Linked DNA regions of Alligator mississippiensis. The protein of the gene in region 2 binds, or shares a complex with, the protein of the main gene of each other region. Links are inferred from orthologs where the notes say so. Each region holds a gene or a part of one and is shown on either strand. Other genes may lie near its edges.

Region 1 (7,890 bases), on a different chromosome or scaffold from region 2:
CAAACAAACAAGCTAATTTAACTTTTAATGGGGTAAAGTTACAGTCACATTTCCCATTGAGAAACCTCTGCTACTTTTTTTTACTATTTCTTTGATTTTTGCAATCAACATATTATTGATACATTAAATGTTGTTTAAATGGACCTCAAATAAATTAAATTACATTTTATTTTACTGAAGTAACTTATACTTGTATTTAAAATGTCAGCCATGTAAATTTAATAATATTAAGATGTATAAATACAAAAGCTGATTACAAAAAAAAAAAAAGTAAAAAGAAATTAAATAGCCGAGGTCTGTCAACGGGAAAGAAGGCTCTACTTTTATTCCAAATACACAGGTGGCTGGATGAAAGATATCATACTAAGAAATTCTTTTCTCTTGCATAATTCCTGGACTACTGCAACTACAACATCACTCTTAAATAACTGAGTAAAGAAACCATATTTTTCATAGAGACCAAAAATCTTTTCTTTTTTTTTTAAACAAAACAAAAATGCTTTTTCTCGGCCAAAACAAACAAACAAAACCCTCAGTTTCCAAGTTGCTTTGTTAAATTTCTGGCTTCTCATTTCTGTAACTTTGTGGCCAATTCTTTAAGTAAATGAGGAGTTTTGATTGCAAAACTCAATAGAAAAGCATTTGTGCAACAAAAGTATAAGATAAAAAATCAGAATAATCTATTGAAGGAAGTGTATTACGTATGTATACACACACACACACACAAGTTTATAGTTTTTGACATGGTTACATAGTTGTGTTGAAAAAGGAAGAAATAATATATTTAATGTAATAATATATATTAACATATTTAATATTCAATAAAACTCAAGGTATACACAAAAAATAGGGAAATGTAAACATCAAATCCTTATTTCCCCCCCACAAAAAAAAGCACTTTACAAGGCGCATTTAAACTCTTCAGATTGTCACGTTTCAGTATTTGGCATTTTGAGCTCTTTAAAAAATGAGGATTATGGTGGAGTGAGGAAGGAAAGAAGAAAAATGCAAAATAAGTGTCTTTCTATGGAACAAGAGAGATTCTAAAATAAACCAAAAATACCTCAAATTAAAAGACCTTTCTCTGAACAAGTTTTTCAATTTGTTCTGAATTAAAAAGTAACGGATCTGCTTTTGGGTTAAAATTCCTGTTTTAATAAACGGACTTTTATTACTCATATTTTCTACATCACAGAGGTTAAATATTCCTGCTTTTCTGCTTGTTCTGGGGGCATTTTGTGCTTTTTAATATCTGGGGGCAATGAGGGTCTGGCCTGGGGTTAGGTCAGTACTGACTATCCTGGACATCTGACTGGCTGCCAAGTCAGGCATGGGAAGGCTCTGCAGCTCGGAGCTGCAACCTGACTGCAGCCCATTGGCCACACCCACCATATCCTCCAATGGAAGACCTCAGGCACTGCCATTGGCCACTGACATCAGCTGGGCGATTTCAGCGTTGAGCTGCTGATTGGTCCAGTCCCTCCGGATGTCGTCAAGGTGGGCATCAAAGTCAACCAGTTGGGTATAAGCTTTGGCCTCCAGCAGGGTTTGGCAGACCCGGCGGGAGGACTCCCAGTCCTGCCACATGACCCTGGGGGGGTGGGGGTGGAGAGTTAGCCCTGAATGCTTGGGTTCCTCCTGCAAACACCAGTGGGGGAGGGGACAGAGCCATGATGCCTGGGTCCCTCCTCCCTTGACAAGCGAGCTGCCTGGACGCCTGGGTCATGTCTCGTGAGAGGGCAATGGGGGAGCCTACAGAAGAGGGGGGCTAGGGGTGCGGGTGTCTTCACTCACAAGTTCTTGTCCTTGGGGACCCACTGCCGGTCCCGTTGCTCCAGCACCAGGATGGGGGGCACACGGGGGCTCATGGTGAACTTCCGGTTATTCAGCTGGGGGGGAGGAAGAGTGTCAGAGAAGGGGGGGAGCACCCCACAGCACCCCTGAACCTGTGATCCCACCCCCAGCACCCCACACCCACAGCACTCAGTCCCGGCCTCCGCTGCACCCCAGCCCCCACCCCCCAGGATCCCTCCCACACCTGATCCCAGCCCCCAGCACCCAATCCCACTGCCCCCAACCATGATTCTAGCACTTCCCCCCACTCCCGACCCCTGACCCCAGCCTCCACCACCACCGAACCAGTGATCCCAGTCCCCAGGCTCCCACCCCTCACCTCACTCCCCCCACCCCCAGTCTCACCATGATGAGCACGGCACCTTCACACAGCTCGGCCAGGCGCCCTGCCACGCGCTGCGCCAGGGGCGGGGGGCTGTGGGGGGCACACAGGGGTCAGCGGGACCCCTGACCTTCCCCCCCCTTTCTTGCACCCGAGGACCCCTGACTCACCTCAGCTCGTCCAGCCCCGCGCCCGCCTGGTAGTACCCGGCCAGGAGCAGGCCCTGCGTTGCCCCCCATGCCTCCACCTGCGGGCACAGGCGACAGGTAGGGGGAGGACGGAGGGCACACGCCCCACACAAGAGTGGCCCCTGACTTGGTACCGCTCAAGACCTGGCAGTTTTATTGCCCCGCAGGGTGGTGGCGTGTTGAGCAGGGGGGGCACTAAGCTGCGGCAGAAAAGTATAGGGGTGGATATGGGGCTTTTGGCTCGCCCCAGGTCCACCCACAGACTGTGCCCCCCAGGACTCAGGAGGCACCAGTCCCCTGCCAGAGAGGATGGGGCCACAGGGACCCCCGGCACCTTCACCCCCACTGTGGGCACAGCGCCCCTTGCCCCGCATTAGGCCCCTCCCACACACACCGCGTGGCCCCGCCCCCTGACAACTCTGCCTCTTGCCCCGCCCTTTCCCTGTCACTCTCCCTGTGGCCCCTCCCCCTGCCGTCATTGCCGCTTTCCCCGCCCCCTCCCTGTCCCTGTGGCCCCTGACCCTACCCCTAGCCCAGAGGGCCCCGCCCCGTCCGCACCTGGTGCAGCGCCACGTCCAGCATGGGGCGGAGCACAGGCGCGGCGCGGAAGAGCGGCACGCAGTCGGCCAAGCAGAGACAGCGCGCGGGTGGCGGCGCGGGGCGGCCCAGCAGCAGCCCGCTGACAGCCGCTGCCGGGTGCCGCGCCGCGTGTAGCGCCATCTTGGCGTAGGCGCGGCCCGACAGCTCCACCTCCGCCATCGCCCCGCCGGCCGCCTGCCCGCCCGCCAGCGCCCAGCCTCGCCGCCACTCGCCATTGGCTGGCACGGCTCTGCTCCCGCCTCCTGCCACACGGCCGGCACGCTGAGTGGCTGCCAGCCCGCGCCAGCGCCTCCCCGCGCGGCTTCTCGCAGGAGCAGCGAGGGGGCGCCTAGAGCGGCCAGTGCGGGAGAGAAGCGGCCTCTCTCCGGGCTTAGCGCCACCCGCTGGCCTTCCCCAGCCTGCCCTGCGGGGCCCTCAGTTGTGGGGGGTTAATGCTCTGCGCCTGAGTGGGGATGGCGGATAGGTACCCTTAGTGCCCTGCATTGGCTATTCCTCCTTGTATCATGTTATTAATTGCTTAATTATGAGTGTATGGGATGGTTTGCATAGGGATGATCCTACCTCAGGCAGGGGGTTAGACTAGCTGACCGCTGGAGGTCCCTTCCAGCCCCACTCCTCTAGGATTCTGCGCACATACGGTTGGGTGACAAGACAAGATTAAGTGGTTAATCACGTCATAAGTGCAATGTTGCCAACTCTCATGACTTTTGGCACTGTTCTTAAAGTGTATGCTTCAGCAATGTGAAAAACAGCTTTCTTTTATATGGAAGAGCTAAGTTTTTCACATTCCCAAAGCATAGACTTTAAGAACAGTGCCAAAAATCATGAGTTGGCAATACTGTAAGTGTAGCATATGGATTGGACCTGACAGAGCACACCAGCTACTGCTGACTGTGGACTGAGCAAAAGCCTGAGTCACAACATCAATAATAAGCTTGCATTTAAATAACAAGCAGTCACCTGGGCAAATAGAACAAGAATCTGTTTATCAAGCCATGAATATTAGATTAGGTCCAGAACAAATAACTGCTTTTTGGAAAAGCGTGCAACAGTACCTAGAAGGAATGATTGATGTTTTGCCTTTGATAGCAAGTGAGTTGCACATAGGTAGAAATCTCGTGCAATAATTGTGCATTTTTGTTGTTAACTTGTTGCTAGGTTTGGCTGTTTTCAAGGCAGGGCTGGACACAGGCATGGGCGAACTGGGCAGCTGCCTGGGGCCTGGACAGAAAGGGGGCCCAAAAATAGTAATTGTTCTTATTATTATCATAATTTCTATATTATTATTATATCTCTTTATCATTACCGTTATCGTTATTGGGGCCTGATACTAAAACTTCACCTGAGGCCGCCGGGAGTTTAGGTATAGTGCTGTTTCAAGGGACCCGGGAGGGCTAGCGACCTCTACCCCTGGGCACACCTGTAGAAGTGTGGCTAGAGCAGGCCACAAAGCCTGTTCCAGCATGAATTAATGTTAGAACTGGCCTTGTCAGCAAAGTAAAAGCAGCAGAACGTGGCAAGGAGCATTCCCAGATGGTGAGGGAAAGAGAGAAGTTCCCTCTCCCTGGATTGAAATTTTCACTAGCAAATTGGCCTCTTCTGAGCCCACAGGAAAACTGGTTCCATTCCCAAAGTTTCAGTGAAACAAAGACATTTGAATAACACTGATCAGAATATTTATTTAAATAACCCACATATTGAGTGTGAACAGGGGGAGTCTTTAGGGCTGCTGCCAGCGTGCAAGCCAACTTTCTCCTCCCTCCTGCATCTCACCTGGCCACTAGAGGTGAGAATTTGTATTGTGCTGTTGCCAGTAGCAAAACAGATATAGAAACAAGTGCTTATTCTTGTGCTTTGGGGTATAATCAGTACAAGGTTGGGTTGTTAGACGTTTCTTGCCTCTGTGTGACTTGGGTTGTCGTAAAGCTTTACAGGCAGAGGGAATGGAGGAGCATTGGGAAATGTGGTTGTATCTTGTCTGGGGGTACAAAAATGGTAGTCAATAAGGGAAGTGGAACCATCACTGAATTCTGTGTCTGAGCAGGCAAAACCCTTATCATAAATGGGATGTAGTCTTGTCTCTCAAAAGACTGAATAGCATCAGGTTTTTCATAACATCCCATTACCCACTGTGCCCTGGAGCAGATGTTACTAGGTCTCCATTACCCACAGTGCACTGCAGTAGATACTAACAGGCCCCCCACCATACCCACAGTGTCCTGTGGCAGATGCCAACGAGTGCTCATTACCGACAGTGCCCTGGGATGCAGGCACCTGAGCCCTGAGGTCACAGGCAATAGCCAGCCATGGGGGGAGGGCACCTCAGGGGCGTTACCCACAATGTCTTGGGGCACAGAGGGCAACAAGGAAGGCGGATGTGCTGCCCTCCATCTGAGAGGTCCTACCCACAATACTGAGGCACATGCCAACAGGCCCCCATGCCCCATGACACACAAGGGGTGTCATCTCCCCCATGACAGCTCAGGACAGGGATGCACACACCAGGCCATGTCTGAGAAAACCATTTATTTGCATTGCCTGTAAATGCCACCTTGTGCCCCTTCCCTCTCCCACCCACCGTGGGGCAGGTATGGGGGCAGCTGTGGCCGCGCTGCATCATCAATACATGGACGGCTTCTCCTCCCCTTTGGGGTTCGTCAGCTTCTCCAGGTTCTCCGACAGGATGTGGTAGAGCTCGGCCTGGTGGGGACAGAGCAGGGGGTGAGGTGAGGGGGAGAGAGAAAATAGAGCCCCCTACCCCCCTCTCCGCAACTCACATAGAAGCCCCGAATGTCCAGCAACATGGTTCGGATGTCTCTGTAGGCTGCCTCGTCACGCTCATGGACCAGGGTTCGGTAATCCATCTGGGGAGAGGGCACTGGTTAGACTGGGATGCACTCCTGGGGGAAGCTTGCAGCACTGGGGTGCCTGCCACTGCTGCTGGGGGAGGGCACTGTTCAAGGGAAGTCTGCAGCATCCAATGCACTGAGGTGACTGACGGAAGGAACTGCGGGAGGAAGCTTGCAGCCCCGGGGGGCTGAATCACTCACCACGTGGGTCTCCTTGGAGGCCTTGGCCACAGCATCTCCACGTTCAGAGAAGTACCTGGGGGGGGCAAGGAGAGAGAGCGCTCAGGGGTCATACCCATAATGCCGTGCTCAGAACCAGTACCCACAATGCTTTGAGGGCATGGGCACCCATAAGGAGCAGCTATCCACAATGCTGTGGGGTGCTGACACCAACCTGGGACCATTACCCAGAATGCCTTGTGGCCATGGGCACCCATGTGGTGCTGCTACCCACAATGCCTTGGGGCAGGGAAGCTGAAGTAGGGAAAAGGTATAGCCCCCACCAAGGCCAACCAGGTGCTCCCAGCTCCTTACCCATAATGCCCTGGGGCAGGAAGCCTGCTCCCCACAACCTTGGGCTGGGGGAACAGACATTACCACAGGGCAGAGCACATGTAACTCATGGTGTCATGGGGTGGGGGGCACTACCCAGCATGCCCCAGCCTGACTCACTTGGAAATGGCTGTCTGGAAGCCCTCGACCTTGGTTTTCACAGCTGTCACTCGTTCCAGCACCTTCTCCTGGGGGCAGAGGGAGACGGGGGTGGAGTGGGGTGGGGTGGGGCAGGAATGATTGGGCTAGGGACCCCCAGGGGTTTTGGAGGTTCAGGGCATGTGGGAGTCCGGGGAGGCACGGGGTGGGGGCACCTGGGCTGGAGGCCTCTGGGAATCCAGGAATAGCTGGATTAGGGGTCCCCAGGTATCTGGGATGCAGGAAGTTGGGGGGTGGGCACCTCCTTACCTGCACAGCCACCCCAAAATCATTGCCATCCTCGATTTTGGGGATCAGGTACTGGATCCAAGTGACCACCTGCAGGATGAAGCAAGGTAGTAAGGGCACTACTGTGGGGAAGCTCACAGCCCTGCAGGGGGCTGGGGGGTTCTCTCACCAGGATGCACTTCTCCTTGAGTGTCAGCACCTCAGGCTTGACCCGGTCCAGCAGGGCCACAATGGCTTCATTGCCCTTCAGGAACCCACACTTGGGGGCTGAGTGAGATACAGAGAAGTCAGGGGGGGTAAACCCCAAAGCACCCCCCAACCCCACCCACAACACTCACCTTCTTTCTTCTCTTCCTTGTCGGTCTCCATGGTGCTGGCCTGCAGAAAGCAGCGATCAGACCCTCTGCCGCCCCCCTCATCCCAAGTGGGGGAATGAGCACCCTCCCACTCACCTCCTCATCCTTGGGGGGCGGGTCAGGGATGGGGATCTCCAGCGGGGCTCGGAGGCTGGAGAGATCCTGCACGTTCAGAGCCTTGTCCTGGGCGGGGAGTTGAGTGGGGCAAATTTAGTGAGGACAGGTGGTATAACAACACCCCCAGAGGAGAGGGGGTGGCAATTTCATACCTTCAGGAGCTTGTCCAGCTGCAGGATTTTCTGGGGTAGGAACGTGGCCAGGAACTCTTCAGCCTGGGGGTGAAAAACCGGGGTAGGGAGTCACATGGGGCAGGTATTTGGAGGGGCAATAAGGGGGGGGGGTGGCTGGGGGGTACTTACCTCCTTGAAGAGGGCTTCCTGGAAGGCAGCCACCTGGGGGCAGGGTGAGAAGGATCAGAAATGCAGCTGGCTCTGGGGTGGCACACGCCAAGCGTAATGCCCCTCTATCTGGCCCCAGGTCACCCCCCCCCCAGGCTGGGGACTTTTCGGGGAGCCCCCAAGCCCCATCTGGCCTCAGATGCACCCCTCGTGGGGGTCCCCGTGACGTCACGGCCCACCTTCCTGGCGGCCCCCCCGGCGGGGCGCAGGGCGCAGGCCTTGGCCATGATCGTGTCTTGGACCGTGTGTCCCGCCGCCCCTTTCGCTTTCGCTCTCGCCCGGTTCCGCCTCGGAGGCTCCGCCCCGGCCTCGTGGGAGGGGCTC
Region 2 (8,124 bases):
ACCCTGAGGGGCACCTGCCCCCAACCAGGCAATCAGCAGGCCCCAACACCAGTGATCATCACCATACAAGCCAACCCCAGTGGGTTGGGGAAGGAGGCAGCCCCACCACCAGGGTTGGGGGTGAGCAGCAATCCTTCCCACAATCAGCAATGGGAGAGCCCCTGGACAAAGATCTTCCTCCCTGTCCATTACCAGCGAGACAGTGATGGGGAGTGGGCTGGCCTGGCAGGAGGGATGTGCAACAGCCATGCCACCTCCTGCTCCCTGCTGGATGGGGCCAGAAGGGGATGGGGGAGCAGGGTGGTACAGGGGGAAGAAGCCAGCAGGGTGGAGACAGGGGGTTTACTTGGCTGCTCAAGGCTGGCGTCCAGGCTCCCACGGGGCTTTGACCGAGTTGGTGGCCAGGAGAAGCACGGCCCCGCCCAATATTAAATGCCACTGCAGGGGGGGTGGGGGGAGAGCACATGTCAACCAGGCACAAGGTGGGGGATAATCTGTAGGAAGGGACTGTATGGGAGGGGTGCAGCACTGGTTGGAGGTTTTGGGTGAGAGGATCCCTGTGTGGTTCTGTGTGGTAGGGAGGTGGGGTAGTTGGTGGAAGCCTGGTCCAGTAGATGGGGGTTCCCTAAAGGTGGGATCCCAGTGCTTGTGCTGGGGGATTCCTAAAAGGGCTAAGTATTTGTGAAAGTGGGGTCCTAGTGCTATGCTGGGTCCCAAGGCTGTGCTGGGGGTCTCCGATGCCAGACTCAGGATCCCGCACTCACATATTTGGCGAAGAAAGATTTCTGCTCCTGCGGGTTCTTGGCTCTCTGCGCCTGCTCCTGCTCCATGCGCTCGATAAATGCTGCCGTCTCAGGGCTGGGGGAAGAGGAGGGAGGGAAGCCTGTCAGAGAGGGTACAGCCCCCACCCAACCCAGTCATCTCCCTGCTGCACACCCCAGTCCTCAACTCCCTTCCTTCCCGGGTCCCGGCCCTGTCCCTGCACTCACACAGCAGCTGGCACTGGCTGCTGTAGCACCACAGTGGTGTTGAAGACCTCCAGGTCCACATCCTCCACCTCAGCACCATGGCAGGAGCCAGGCATGGTGACAATGGAGATGCCGATCACGTTCCCAGCCACATCTGTGTGCACCGTGAGCCGGTCCGAGATGTGAGACTCCACTAATGAGCACTAGGGGTGAGAGGGGATGGGGTCAGCAGGACTGAGACATCTTCCCCTTCTCCCTCTTTGTGCTCTGCCCTACCCCCAGCCTCCAGCCACAGGTAGGCCACCAGCCTCTCAATCCACAAGGGAGCTGGGATTGGAGGATTTAGCAACCAAGAGGAACCAGCCAAGGGTGGGGGAAAGGCAGGAAGGACCCCTGGGGAGAGGGAACCAGCCAGACACCCCAGCCCATCCACTGAAATCACCAAGAAGCCAAATGGGGCTGGCTGGGGGTGACGTCTTAGGGGCACTCACTGCTCGGACGAAGGAGGTGACATACTCAGTAGCAAGCTCATCTGCAGCTCCCAAGGGCCAGCGAGGGATCCTGACACGATACAGCCCATTCAGCGCCGCCACTTCCTTGAGGGCAGGGGACACCATCAGGATGAGCCATATATTTCACCCCCCAGCTACACACCCACCCTCCATTCTTTGGGATGAGATGCCAGCATCCCCCAAACCCCCTTCCCTGCCCCAGCCCCTCCTATGGGCTACATAGCCTCACCCTCCCTGCTTCCACACAACAGCTTTCCTTCCTGGCCCCAAAGAGCAGGGTAAAAGCTTCCCCACAAGGAGAAGGCCCTCCATGTATGCCCCCACCAGCCATGCTGAGAACTCCCCAGCCCTCACCCTGAGCAAGTTGCGCTCCCCCTCACTCAGCTGCTTCTGGGACAGCGAGAGACTGGGATCAGGCGCCAGGGTCCAGAGCAGGGTGCCCCGCTTCCGGAAGTGGATGCTGTCATCTGAGGAGTGGTGTAAGAGCACAACAAGGAGTCACCCTCCCACCGGCCCCCTCCCCTTCCCTGAGAGAGGATGCAGATTCCCCCTCATCTCCCCGCTGCACCCCAGCCCCTCAGCTCCCTTCAGCAGGAAGCCTCCCCACCATGTCAACCATCCGTCCTCTCCCACAACCCACTCAGGGAATTAATGCCACGATCCATGCCCCCAGCAACCACCCTTTACTCTCCCTGAACCCTGTCCTCCCCTCCCCCTGCCATGCCCTGCAGTATCCTCATGAGACAAGAGCCCCTCCCTGCCACTGTAAACCCTCTTACCCTCTCCACCACCCCTGCCCCGCCATAACACCCAGGGAGGGGATCTCAGCCTGACACCCGTCCCCTCCCTGACTCACTCAGCTCGAACGAGTGCTCCAGCTGCAGGGTGATGCCACAGGCCTCAGAGTCCCGCCCCTCGCCCGGCTGCAGGGCACAGGGGACACTGATCAGCACAACCCCTCTGAGTCCTGGATGGCACCCAGGCCCCACCCTCCCCCATGTAACCCAGGCATCCCCACAAGGGTCGCTGGTGAACAGGCTCATTAATATTAATACAAATTCATTAATATTAACAGCCCTGTGACTGGCCTGCCCGCCTCTGTTGTGCCAGTCATGGCAGAATTTGTAAATCATTATGAATGTTAATTAGATCTAGCTAAAGCATTTGTGAATATTAGTCATATGAGGTTGGGGCTCAGCTCCACACCTCCCTGCTAATGACCCACTTATGAATATTGATAATTCAAATCCCCCTCAACTAGGCAGCTCATCACCATGCAACACATGGTGTTACTCCCACACACTATTAACCAGATGCTCATACATAGTCATGACGCGCCGCACTTGCCACTATTCTCTGGCTGCTTATTAATATTAATGAGTGACAACTAATAAGTCCGTTGAATACTCCTCCTACTACGAATATTCATGAGGTCCCAGGCCGAGCGTCGTGTCCCCCTCCCTACAGAGGCCCCGCCCCCTCGTGAATATTAACAAGCCGTCTTCCCTCGGCCTCGGCGACTGCGGTGAATATTACTGAGGCGAATGCGTTTTCCAGCGCGTCCACCCGCACTCACCCGGAGGCCCCGGCAGGACGCGGCGCTGCCAGCCCCGGGCGGCAGCAGCGACACCAGCAGCGCCAGCGCCAGCACCCGCGCCGCCATGGCCCGCGTCACGTGAGGGGGAGGACGCGCCGCGCGGGGCACCCTGGGATGGTGGCGAGCCGCGGAGTCACGTGGGGCGGAGGGGGACGTGCCAGCTTGGGGCCGGCACCATCTTGGACCTCGACAACCTCCAACCCCGCCGTCATTTTGGACCCGTCTCCAAGGCTGGGGATGACACCGGCTGCGCTATGGGGACGGGATGGATCCCACCCACCTTGCTCTGCCCTGCCTGATATGTGCCCCCCCACAGGCTCTAGCCCACCCTGGAGGGGAAGCCCCACGCTGCACTGTGCACCCGCCCTGGGGGGCTGCAGCAGTGCCTGGCACGCGGGGAGTATGGGCCCCTGCACCACTGCCCCCTCTTCGAGAGCAACTTCCTCCAGGTGAGCCCCCCAGCCCCAGGCAGCCCTGCCCAGCCCTGTCCTGGCCCAGTGGCCCCTGCTCTGCCCTCTGACCCCCACCCCACTGCAGGCTCAGCACCCCCCCACTTTGCCCTCAGCCCTGCCCATCCCCACCCTACTCCCAGCATCCCTCTTCTGCCCTGGGTGCCCCCACCCCACTGCTAGCCCAGCCTCCCCCTACCCCTCCACTGCTCCTCATCCCTGCCAGGGCTTTGCCCCACTTCTCCCCCTTCCCACCCTCCCCCAGTATCTCCATGCCCCCCCTCCCTCCCTTACAGCTCTGCCCTCAGTGTTCCTGCCCCACAGCCCTCTCATCTCCACCCCCCACACTTCAAGCCCATCCCAGCCTGGGCCCCAGCCCCCACGCCCCATCCCCTCCATTTCCAGCCCAGCCCTGCCCCTGTCCCCTGCCACTACTCTCCATCCTTCACCCCAGTGCTGCCCAGCCCACTAGACTTTCAGCCCTTCCTGCCCCTGTCCCCAGCCTTCCTGCCCCACTCCCCATCCCACAGTGACCCTGCACCTCCCCCCCCACCCCCATCTCCCTGCAGGTGACCAAGCGGGGGGACCTGGCCAACAGGGTGACCATGGGCATTGCTGCCACCAGCCCTAGGCTGGAGCTGCCTGACCTCCTGCTGCTGGCACGGCCTGTGGTGGGCCCCGGCTTGGCGCCTTGCCGCTGTCGCTGTGCCCTGGGGCTGCCGCCAGAAGGGGAGGAGCTGGAGCTCTTTGGGTGAGTCCTACCTATACCTTCCTCCCCAGCCTTGCAGCCCCCTCCCCAGTGGAGCCCCTAACCATGCTTTCTTACCTGTCTGCAGGTGCCTTCCCCCACATCCCTATAACCCCCTCTTGCTGCCCCCTGGTACTTCTTAATGCATCCTATTGCCTCCCCCATGCCCCTAATATCCCCCCCAGTAGCCCCTAATCCATGTCCTTGCCTTCCCCAGAAGTAGTCCCCAGTGCCCCTCACCCACACCCTTTGCAGTCCTGGCCCCATACTGTAGCTGCCCTGAGGTGCCAGCCAACTGCAAATACGCACACCCCCCCCCCCAAGTCTCTTAACAGGCTGCCCCCAACTTGATACCCTGGTAGTGCCCCCCCCCCACTAATGACCTTCCCTGACTGCCCCCAGGATGCTGCCCCTGCAGTTCGTCCACCTCTCCATCCACAGTGAGGACCGGTACCAGCTCAAGGTGCGCTTGGCCTCCGGCCGGACCTTCTACCTGCAGCTGCTGGCTCCACTGGCCCAGCTGGAGCAGATCTTCAGCCAGTGGGTGCGGCTACTCTACCGTCTGCGCTACCAGTGTCCTGGGGCAGTGCCGAGGGCTAAAGGGACCCGGTGAGTCTGGGGTTAGGTAAGAGATGGACAGGATGAGGAACAGGGGAGACTGGCTACTGTGGGGGGCCAGCCTGGCTTAGGCGCTACCCCAGGTCTTCCCCACGTGTCCCTGCTGCCTGCTCCCAGAACCTGGGCATCCTGGCTCCTAACCCCACCAGACCCCCACCCTCTCCTCCCAGAGCATAGATATAAGCCAGGCACCCTGGCCCCCAACCTCTCCCTCTGCTGTAACTCATCAGACCCCATTCCACCCAGAGCTGGGAGAGAACCCAGCCATCCTGGCTCCCAGCCCCATCTGCAGTAACCTCTCAGCCCCCACTCTCCCAGAGTTTAGATAGAACCCTGGTATCCTGACTGCCTGTGATCTGTCTTTCCTCCCTTCCCCCATAGTGACATTCCAGTACCTCAGGGAAAAGGAAGAGGGGGGCGCAAAGCAGAACCAGCCCCCTCCAAATTGAAGCCCTCTGAGAAGCCAGCTGCACAGGCCTCCAAGCTGAGCAGAGCTTCCAAGCTGAGCAGAGCTTCCATAGTGAGCAGAGCCTCCACTGTTTCCCTACCATCAGAACCTGACTCCAGTGACCAGAGCTTTCTGTCTGAGAAGGAAAAGTCCTAGAGAAGCTGCACCATCCCCCACAGACCAGCGGGGAGCCCTTCAATAAAGTCCCATGATGGAACTGTAGTCAAGCCACCTCAATGCTGCACCCCATTAATGCACGGAGCGCCCCCGTACAACCCACCAGAGCCCACTGCCCTCCCAGAGCCAGGAGAGAACCCAGGAGTCCTGGCTCCCAGCCCCCTGCTCTAACACACCCACCACCCCAGACTCACTGGTTCCTTTCCATGTACCTCCCATGCCTCTCCCCTGCCCCCATCAATTCAAAGGACAAATGGACTCAGCAGGGCCTGGCAGGGAGCTCTGGGCTCCATTTATTGACAGATACTGGGACAGACTCATGGACAGACACAGACTCAGTGAGGGGTGAGGAAATCCAAGCATGAGCTGCAGGGGAGGGGAGTCAGGGCTCTGCTCCAGTAGGGGGGGGGGGGATAGGAATAGCTGACCCCCCCCCCCCCCCCCCCCCCCCAGTTGGCACTGATGGGGTGTAGGGAGGTGGCAGGAGGTGGTGCCCTTTTCTCTGTGTGCATGTCCTCACCCTGCCACACTGCTGTCCTTGGGGGCAGGGGCAGGGCATGGCACTCAGTCCTTGCTGTCCGGGGGTCTGTGAGCAGGGAGAGAATAGTGAGGTGAAGGAGGCCAGAGCCCTTGGCCCCCATTAACCACAGCCCCCAAACGCCCTTTCTTTACTAGCCACAGCGTCTCGCTCGCTAGGCACGGCCCCAGAGCCTCCTTCCCGTGTTAGGCACATTTCCCCCTCCCCCACTAGCAATGGCCTCTGCCCTGCTAGCCAGGGCTTCAGAGCCCCCTTCCCCATCTCCCCACTCCCCCATAGGCCTCTCCCCAACTCACTGCTCCCCAGGCAAGTGGCTGCACTTTGGGTTTTACTGGGGCACTGCAGGAGGGAAAGACAGACAGCCTTAGGTGGGCAGACAGGCAGCCCTGCCTCCAGCCACCCCCTCCCTCACTGCCCACCCAATGGGCACCTCTCATCCTCCCCAGCCCATAGACACCTCACACCCTCAGCTTGACCCCAACACCTCTTGCCCCTCCAGCCCTGCCAGCTTCCCCGTGCCCGCTCCCCAGCCTAGCAGGCACCTCGGATTTCAAGCTTGCATTCAGTGAGGGCTTCGCCCAGGTTGTTGACAGCCCGGCAGCTGTAGGTGCCCCCATCAAAGGGGCTGGGCTTGCGGATGTGCAGCGTCAGGACACCCTGGTTGTTCTTCATCAGGAACTTGGGGTCCTCACGGATCTCCATCTTGTTTTTCATCCAGATCACCTTAGGCTGGGAGGGTGGGAGGAGCATCGTGGATGGAAGAGAGGGGCATCATACAGCCTCCAACCTCCCCCAACCACAGTGGGGGGCAAGTGACCCCCACCCCACACACAAGGGGGGCAGAGACCTCAGACCCCTCCCACCTACCCCCCACACTTGACCAGGAAGGAAACCCCCAGTCCACTAGCTATCCAGCAGCTACACCAATACTGGGGAGGATCCCCAGTCCCTCAACTACCTTCCACCTACATCCACACTGGGGGGAGGGATCCCCAATCTCACCTACCCCACAATCAAGTGTGTGATCCCAAAGATAAACTACAAGCTTCCCCTGGCACTCTATGAACACCTCCTTCCAGAGAGGACCAGTCTGGGGCCAGGGGAAGGTAAGGCTTCACCTCCAGCCTTTCATGTTACCAGGTTCAGGGTGTTGGTGCCCTCCCCAGACCCCAGTGGGTAGGAAAATTTTGGGTGGAGAGTCCCTGACCAAGAGGGACTGTGTACCTTGGGGTGCCCCCGCACTGCACAGTTCAGGGCTGTGCTGTACCCAGCCACCACAGTGCGGTCAACCAGGGGTGTCAAGATTTGGGGCGCCATGCTGAAGTCATGTTCCTTGTAGTCCATGGGTTTATACATGATCCCTGGGTGGGGGCACCAAAAGAAGGGTGGTGAGTGAGGACATGGAGAGCCAGTCCCATGCCCCCCACTCCCCTCCCTGGCCTGGCTAGGTCCACCCCACTGGAACCCAGGTATCTATGCTCCCAGCCTCCCTGCTATAGCCACACTCACAAAGCTGGTGTGCAACCCAGGTGTCTGGGCTCCCAGCTCTGCTGCTCCAGCCCTTGAGACGCTACTGCTCCAATGCTGGGAGAGACCCCAGGAGCCCTGGCTCCCAGCCCTGTTCTAACCCGCTAGACCCCATGCACCCCCAGCCTGGGGAGAGAATCAAGGTGTGCCATCTCCCAACCCCTTCCTGCTGGCTGAATGGCTCCAGCCCTGCTCTGGCCTGTCAGAACCCCAATATCCATCAGACCTGTCTTGTGGATGAAGGCGGTGTTCTTGGAGATGCCAGGCGAGTCGCTGAGCCCACAGATGTTCTCGCTGTACACACGGAAGTAGTACTCGTTGCCCATGATCAGGTCTGACACAGTGCAGCGTGTTAGCCGGTTGTGCTCGTACACCGTGAACCACTCCTAGGGGGGATGGAGGTAGGGACGGTCACCAAGGGGTATCACACTGATGACTTTCTGCAGAGCATAGCTTACAACCACAAATGGGGAAGGGGGCCTCAGGATGAGGGGCTGTGGAGAATCTCATGTATGGGGGAGCCAGGGCAGGGATTCCCTTTT

What was found.
Region 1: EMC10 (region 2) and EMC9 share a complex: the UniProt entries of both Homo sapiens proteins name them as parts of the ER membrane protein complex. The link is inferred for Alligator mississippiensis from reciprocal best matches to the Homo sapiens genes EMC10 and EMC9.

What each region holds. Positions count from the first base shown.
Region 1 is NC_081830.1:7,802,727-7,810,616, forward strand, and holds the start of EMC9 (ER membrane protein complex subunit 9), read right to left. Parts: upstream 3,124-7,890; coding exon 2,923-3,123; intron 2,424-2,922; coding exon 2,347-2,423; intron 2,270-2,346; coding exon 2,200-2,269; intron 1,890-2,199; coding exon 1,795-1,889; intron 1,592-1,794; coding exon 1,411-1,591; 3' UTR 1-1,410. Other genes in the region: PSME2 (proteasome activator complex subunit 2), read right to left, coding at 5,584-5,664, 5,742-5,828, 6,015-6,069, 6,486-6,553, 6,774-6,842, 6,922-7,019, 7,091-7,130, 7,205-7,291 and 3 more. UniProt on the Homo sapiens protein: Part of the endoplasmic reticulum membrane protein complex (EMC) that enables the energy-independent insertion into endoplasmic reticulum membranes of newly synthesized membrane proteins.
Region 2 is NC_081828.1:40,239,546-40,247,669, reverse strand, and holds the start of EMC10 (ER membrane protein complex subunit 10), read right to left. Parts: upstream 3,144-8,124; coding exon 3,057-3,143; intron 2,404-3,056; coding exon 2,337-2,403; intron 1,948-2,336; coding exon 1,835-1,947; intron 1,565-1,834; coding exon 1,460-1,564; intron 1,172-1,459; coding exon 990-1,171; intron 859-989; coding exon 765-858; intron 1-764. Other genes in the region: GARIN5A (Golgi-associated RAB2 interactor protein 5A), read left to right, coding at 4,132-4,277, 4,677-4,883, 5,274-5,496; MYBPC2 (myosin-binding protein C, fast-type), read right to left, coding at 5,853-6,103, 6,598-6,784, 7,280-7,416, 7,809-7,968. UniProt on the Homo sapiens protein: Part of the endoplasmic reticulum membrane protein complex (EMC) that enables the energy-independent insertion into endoplasmic reticulum membranes of newly synthesized membrane proteins.